Drosophila melanogaster: one gene and its partner. The protein of the gene in region 1 purifies or fractionates together with the protein of each later gene. This does not show direct contact. Each region holds a gene or a part of one and is shown in the gene's direction. Other genes may lie near its edges.

Region 1 (3,682 bases):
AGTTTTAGGCGGACGCTCAAGTCATGTGAGTTGGTTATCATAAGTGGTATGCCTTTTGCTTACTGATGCAGCTCTTTCACATTTTAGCCGATGATGGCGATAAGGAGATCTTCCTAGACCGCAGCAACTACGTGATCTGGGCATTTGGCCCATTGGACTCCAACAACGAGCCCGCCTTTCACACTTACTATCCCAAGAGCGATATAGTGATAGATTTTAACACCACAGAACCGGTTAATGATTGCTTTGCATTTACAAAACGAGCGGAGACGACTAATCCTCCAGTGTGGGAGCGAACCAGGATAACAGATGCGTAAGACTCCAATCTTCCTGCAATGAAAATTTAATATAGTTCCTTGTTTTGCAGAACGGTACGCACATTCAACGCCTACTTGGGACCCTCTGGAGGACTTCGTGGCTATCAGGGATTGACGAATCATGTGTCCAGTGGCTTGGCCTGGTACATCAACGGCTACATGATTCCAGAGCTTTACCTAAAGCGTGGTCTGACCTACACCTTTAAGGTTAGGGGTGGCAATAATCCTCACTCGCCGGAGCACTATCATCCGTTGGTTATCACCGATGATCCCCAGGGTGGGTATGACCGACTGTCTGATGCAAAGCAGAGTGAGATTCGTGTATTAGCCGGTGTTGAATTCACCCGGAGAGGCAGGCCCAAGCCCACGGCTGCTGGTCCCCTGTGCCTGTCCAGATATCCTCAAAATAGTGATCGTCGACTGGATGATAACTTCCCCACTTTCAAGAAGTTCAATCGATCCCTCATCACCGAGTGTGTAGAAGGGGAACCGGCTCTATTGGAAATTACACCGAATATCACATGGCCGGATACTGTGTACTACAACTCCTTTACCCATGGCAATATGGGCTGGAAGATTCACATCGTGGACAGTTATACCAACTTGAAGAGTGGATCGATGGGCTTATCCTGGTCCTTGTGCATCATCCTGCTACCGTGGCTCGTGCTCCAGAACTGACTGTTTTCTCATTCTTAGATTCTCCTATTTAGTGTCTTAGTCTAAATTAAGCAGTCACAATCTATGTATTTGATACGCGTGTGTAGAATGTATGCTAAATGTTGTGTATATTATTATTTATATGATATTTAAATACAGAACTGTGTTGTACTTTAGAAGAATGAGCTATGAAGTTTTGACCCAACAAAAAATCTAATATACATCATTTTTTCAGTGAATTAGATTTATTTGAAATGTTATTGTAGAATCATGGCAGCTGTTATTCTGGATGAAACATGGTGTACAAATCACCGAAATGGGCGCCTAAGATTCGGATTCACGTTCTACCTTCTTGCGCGGCACAGGCTTTCCGTTCACCCACGGAGTGAACTTCACATGGCTGATGTTTCGCTTGGCGGCGTCTGCACGGAGCTCAATGCGCAGGGCCTCTCGCACCACACGGGCTGCGATGTTGGAATACTGGATATAGGTAATACCCAGATCTCTCCAGGCTTTCATCTTGCAGTAATATGGGATTAACTATAAAGATGTTAGGATAATAAGTCAAAAAAAGCTATCTGCATATAAAGGATCTTACCTTCTTCCGTTAAGAATTCGATATAAAACCGAGCGACGGGTTTCTTTTCAAGATTTCGCACACGATTGGTAAAGCCTATGTTAATATTTAATTGCATTAAGTTACAATATCAAAGTAAGTTAAATCAAAGCGCCTTGCTACCTCCTCACTTTAAGATCTTTTAAGGCAAAGCACGTGTCTTTTTATCGATGTTTTTTTTTTATCCAGACAGGGCTACAAACTTAATCGAACTAGGAGTTCTATGGATGCGATAAAAGTTCGATTTGAAACCAAATCGATACAATTTTTTAAATATATTCAAAATCCAGCTTACATGAAATGTAAATATAGCTTACTTTTCACCCCCCAAGCTCGCATATTATATGGTATGCATTTATTTAATTAAATACAAATATATATTTTATGCAACTTTAGTAAAGCACTTAATATTACCATAATACCAGTGTCATACCCGCATAGAAAAGGAGCGGCCTTTTGTGTTTTTCTCGGCACTTGCGCACTTGGGCACACTTATTTGAATATAAGTCACTTGAATTGATTTTTTCAACACGCAAAGGTTGTAACTTAGCACTATGAGCACTCTTGATGCCAAAAAGATAGAAGAGGCGGAGGCCTTGATAGGACAGACGGATAGTGCCGCGAATGAGTATGCCAAAGCTGGTATGTATTTCAAGGCAGCAACCGCATATCGAATTGCCAAAAGTTTCGATAAGCGCAAGGATTGTCTTTTGAAGGCCATCGACTGTTACGAAAACAACAAGTCATGGTTCCATGCAGCCAAATCCTACGAGCAGATTATCCTGCTTGCCAAAGAAACGGACAAACTGTCCGAAGTGGAGGACTATGCCAATAGGGCTTGCTGTCTCTACCAGCAACATGGTTCGCCGGAAGCAGCAGCTGCTGCTCTCGATAAAGCCGCCAAAATGACGGAATCCAAGCATCCTGACTTGGCTTTGGGATTTTACAAACGCGCCCTGGCAGTCGTCTTGATTGGGGACTCCACTCATCAGGCATCGGAATTTGCATCGAAGGTTTCCCGGATATTGGTCAGACTCAAAAAATATGAAGAAGCCACGAAAGCCCTCAAAAAGGAAATAAGCCTAAATCTGCAGACAAAGTCTTACGGACAAGTTGGCCGTTTAGTAGTTGCTTTAATACTGGTACAATTAACACTAGAGGATTACGTGGATGCCAAGAAGACCTTCAAGAAATGGGGAAACCGTTGTGATCCCCAGGAGGTGAACACATTACAAAACCTACTCAAAGCTTTTGACGACGAGGATCCTGAGCTGGCCACCAAGATGCTGGCATCTCCATTCATAAGACACATGGACGTGGAGTACGCACTTTTATCTAAAGATGTGCCATTACCAAAAGGAAATCGTCAAATGACCAAAAATGCAGTCGACAATGCCGCAAACTAAAGAGCTTTTACAAAATGTGGTTTATAAATGTTGTAGTAGTTTTATTATTGTTCCTTAGGTGAAAAAGTTTCATAAATGTAGGTACACTGTTAAAAATATACAAAAATATAAAAAGTGCTAACTCAGAAAACGCATCAGGTGAATTTATAATGCCTTTCCACAACTTTTATACGAAACATATTTTTTACCTTTAAATTTATTGTTACTCAATCTTTTACACTACTTTTTATGCATTTTATACATATTTTTTACATATCCCTAAAATTATACTAATAGTTTTGAACATCGAGTTCTAATTAAAATTATATTCGCTTAATAATATGCAACGTTTGACAAAAAAATGTTTTCAAAATTAAAATTGACAAATACATTCACGAAAAAATCTTTAAAGCATGTGTTTTAAATTCTTTTCAAATAATTGGAGCTCTCACTTAAGAAATTCGTGTTCAATTTGATCAGGAAGCCCAGCTTAACATTAAGCCCTAATTTTATTTTGAGTTATCAATCGGCTTATTGGACTTTAGATTATTTTGGACTCTTCGCCGTGCTTGTATCTGCAGCAGATAAGATACAGTTGAGACCATGTGTATAATTAGCCGTCCCATCAATAAACTTATCCACTGGACACTCGCTCCAATCGCAGTGTCATTTCGCAACGAACAATCATGATGAAGTGTGGCCGGCAA
Region 2 (4,085 bases), on another chromosome or scaffold:
AATCTTACCTCGAAGTATTTCAGCAGAAAGCGCCACTTTAGCTCGCTTTTCTCGCGCTCCGCCAGTCGCTCGAAGTCTTCAGCCCGAAGTCCCAGGATACGTTCTGCCGGATGTCCAGCTAACCGGGCTTCGACGAGAGTGCCGGTCTGGTCGGACAAATGAATGTTGATATTGAAGTAGCTAATGGATCGTGGTTCATCATTGTCCAATGAAAAATACTGCTGGCAGGCGTCCGAGGCGCAATCTTGCAGGTTCCGTGGTATATGTTGTTGACAGGCAATGCTGTAAAATAAAAGGGCTTTTAAGAATATGTCTTGTAAACTATGTAACGGATAGTGGGAAGCGTTTCGGCGGTTAGGAAGGGATGGGGATGTACAACACCCACCACTTCCTGTTGACGTGGGAGGTCAATCCATCCAAGTCGAACTTGGTGACCATCCCATACAGCACTGCAGTAAACTGATGTATGGACGGATCCTGCAGTTCGCCCTCGGCGCGTGAATATATCTGTCTTACCGTCATCTGCGCCTGAATGCTGGCAACTGAAAGAGTTATAGTAAATAATAATACTGCATTAATTATCCTTTACTCACCTGCAGGCATGTTGTCCAGCTCTGCCTGGTCACAGCCACTAAAAGTTGTTAGAGGCACAGTGGCGGCGAAAGCTAGCAAGAGACGGCAATCATCTCCAGCCGCCTGAGGATTTTCGCAAATAAGTGTGCAATTGGAATGGGAGAGGACGAGAGAACGATGAAAGTTCGAGTAGGAAACACGCACGTCGATCAAATGAAGGACAGTGCGACGTGGCTGCCATTGCTGGGCACGTTGTATCCAGTCGGGTTGCCAAACGGAGAGCAGCATACCTTCCGGATAGCTGGCATCGATCACGATTACTTCCAAGCACTGTAGCAGCTCCTGGACCTCACTTAGTGGCCCCTGCAGCTTTCGCTTTATCTGACGCACTGGACGCACTGCAGCCACTACTACCAGTAGATTCACATTGGTGGTGATTATCTTATCGGGAAATCCCAAGCCGGAACGCACATCCGCCAGCTTAAGGACCGCACCAAGTGGCCTTATGGGCTGATGGAGTAACTGCTGGAGAATTGTTATTTGGCCAAAGTCGTCATTGTCGTGGCGCACCACATAGCCGGATCCCTCGTTGACCACCAGGGCGCAGGAGACCGTCGCTTGGGGCTGATAACGCTGTTCTCCCGGAGCAGCAAACGGTATGGACATCACTTTAGCGCCCACAATGTCTACCACATGGCCGATCTGCAGCATGGCCGCGTACTCATCCACACAGTCCCGCTGGCCCCAGCACTTGCAATTGGTCAGGTGATTGGGGGAATCTCGGATGGTCAAGCTGAGAACCCCTCGTTCGGTGCCACTCATCTTGTCATAGAAGATGTTCGGCGAGGATTTGGAGACAATCAGGGCAACGGTGGAGAAACGGGTCATTGTGGGACGCATCTCTGCCAACCGCTGGAACTTAATACGCCTTGCCATTGAAATTATTTAAGAAATCGCGACCAGTCAGATTGCAGTGCTTAAGAAAACCGTTACATTGCCGTTACCGCCGATTAGTAGTTATCGATGTTTGTAGTGATGGTACACCACAAATGGCCGTAGATTCAGTTAGTAACAGAAAGTATTGCTAACAACTTAGTTTGATAAAAACCACAATTAAAACATTTACAGAAAGTTGCGCTTATTAATTGTAACCATTGGAATCGATAATAATCGGATGGCATCCGAATACCAGACGTACCATCCCTAATAAGCTGACACACACTACGCATATGTGCACCCGCGCACACACACACGCACACACAGAGGGGAACGGCACAGATTTACTGCGTTAAACAAACTCACTTGTCGCACTTTTCCACGAATGCCAGTGCGCTGAAAGTGAAACCCATCCGCCGGAGCATAGTAGGATTAGCCAGGACAACCGTTCAGCTCAGTGCCCCAGAAGCATTTAATTGGAGGAGCAACAGTCGAGCAACCCGCGACCCGCAGACCCAGTCTTGGCAGCCCACAGCCACTCAAAATGGTCAAACTATTCGCGTTGAGCATCTTTCACAAGGGCGCCAGCGAGGCGCGTCTCCTGAAGACCGCCTCGGACCTGCAGTCCTTCTCCTTTTTCCAACGTGGCACCGTCAACGAGTTCATGACGTGAGTATGCATGTGGATGCCAAAGAACGGCGCAGGCTCAAAGAGTCATCAATGACGAACACCCCCCTAAACAACTCCTCCTCTTGCAGTTTCGCTTCGAAGACGATTGTGGAGCGCACACAGCCGGCCCTGCGGCAATCGGTGAAACAGGATGCCTACATGTGTCATGTCTATGTGCGGGCGGACAATCTGGCCGGTGTACTGATCGCCGATCATGAGTATCCGCATCGCGTGGCGCACACGCTTATCACAAAGATTCTGGATGACTTTACGGCCAAGGTGTCGGCCGATCAGTGGCCCAATGGCACGGAGGCCACTATCTCATTTGACTTGCTGCCAGCGTTTCTAGCACGCTATCAAAATCCCGTCGAAGCAGATCCGCTGACGAAAATGCAAAACGACCTGGACGAAACGAAGATCATACTGAAGAATACCATCGAGGCGGTGCTGGAGCGGGGCGAGAAGCTGGACGACATGGTCAGCAAGTCGGAGAAATTGTCGCTGCAGAGCAAGGCGTTCTACAAGACGGCGAAAAAGACTAACTCCTGCTGCAGCTTCACCTAGACGACAGCTGCACCTCTCATCACCCCCCACCACACGCTAATCCTCTCAAGCAACAACCACAACAGGAAACACCAGAAAATGCAAATCAAAGACAACACAAAGGATAATGGATAACACGATAACACCAACAAACTACAACCAAACAAACTCCAAGGGAGCGGTGCGACTTGGGCTTTGATGATTGCTTTTTATAAATGAATTAGTTAATTTTATATACTATATATATATATTATATTATATACTGTATGAATAGGATGGCCAGTTGCCAGTTACGATAGTCCGCTAACCCAATGTCTACCTGTCTGTATATGTCTACGCTTTGGATATCTAAATGTTAATTACTACCAATACAGATTACGATCTAAACCCATGTGCTTAACATAATCTTCTCTTCACTTATGTGTTGGCACGGCGGTCCAAAATTGGCCCTTTGCTAGCTATTGATGTTGTGGGCCTTCTTATCGCCTCCACGGCGGATCTATGTATACCAATCGGATCGGAAGGCTGCACCTATGTATACACATGCAGTCGCACTTCCGATCCGGGCAACTGGCGGTCGGAATGTGTGGGCGTTTCAATAAAGAAGTATTATGGGAAATGTGAACCAAGCTCGTTTTCATTGCTCACATATACAAACCTTATCTTTGTCAATTTTGGCAAAATGTACAAACTATTTGTACGAGCTCTGTACATAGCACATGAACTTATTTTTATTTATGTAATACGTACCACTTTATCTTAAGTGCAAATTCCATTCCTCCCAAAAAAGCAAAATCAATTTAAAAGTGATTTTCTGTTGGCGTTTATTTATTATATAGAAGACACCTATTTCGCTTCTTGTAAAGATTTCCGTTACATTTTTCATATTTATGCGTTTTCCTTACGTTTTCGTGTTTAACCTTTTGGATTTTGGTTATGTTTAATGGGTTCGGTTTGTATAGCCTAGTATAAGATAGGTAAATCGATTACAATTTAGTTTTCGCCCCCTCTCCATCGCAATTTTCTTGTGTGTTTGCGCGGGGAGAAAGGGGAGGCGGTGCATTATAAATATATGCATTATACTGCATACCTATATCGTTTCGTTATAATTAATATAATATTGTGTGTGCTAACTTAGCTTAAGCTGCAAACATTGATTCAAACGCGTTTGCTTGGCTTCTCGTTTTTTATTGATTTGCATCAACATTGTATGCATTTTTTTTTTGTGTTAGTGATCTATAGTAATATTTAGAATTTATTCAAATGCTTTCAATATATGCAAGTGTAAATATTAGTCGATGCAATGTTCTAAATGCACGCTCCTTCGAAATGGCTAAGAATTTGCATTTGTGTTTCCTGGTATG

Evidence for each region.
Region 2: the proteins of gammaSnap2 (region 1) and Ykt6 purify together in Drosophila melanogaster (affinity purification with mass spectrometry, with the first as the bait; one large-scale study listed by BioGRID). This does not show direct contact.

Annotation. Positions count from the first base shown.
Region 1 is NT_033777.3:10,119,837-10,123,518, reverse strand, and holds gammaSnap2 (gamma soluble NSF attachment protein 2), read left to right. Parts: upstream 1-2,118; 5' UTR 2,119-2,144; coding exon 2,145-2,996; 3' UTR 2,997-3,120; downstream 3,121-3,682. Other genes in the region: knk (knickkopf), read left to right, coding at 1-25, 88-313, 368-995; ATPsynepsilonL (ATP synthase, epsilon subunit-like), read right to left, coding at 1,299-1,493.
Region 2 is NC_004354.4:7,918,623-7,922,707, forward strand, and holds Ykt6 (YKT6 v-SNARE), read left to right. Parts: upstream 1-1,786; 5' UTR 1,787-2,053; coding exon 2,054-2,178; intron 2,179-2,267; coding exon 2,268-2,742; 3' UTR 2,743-3,344; downstream 3,345-4,085. Other genes in the region: hdm (hold'em), read right to left, coding at 1-282, 386-542, 594-1,509.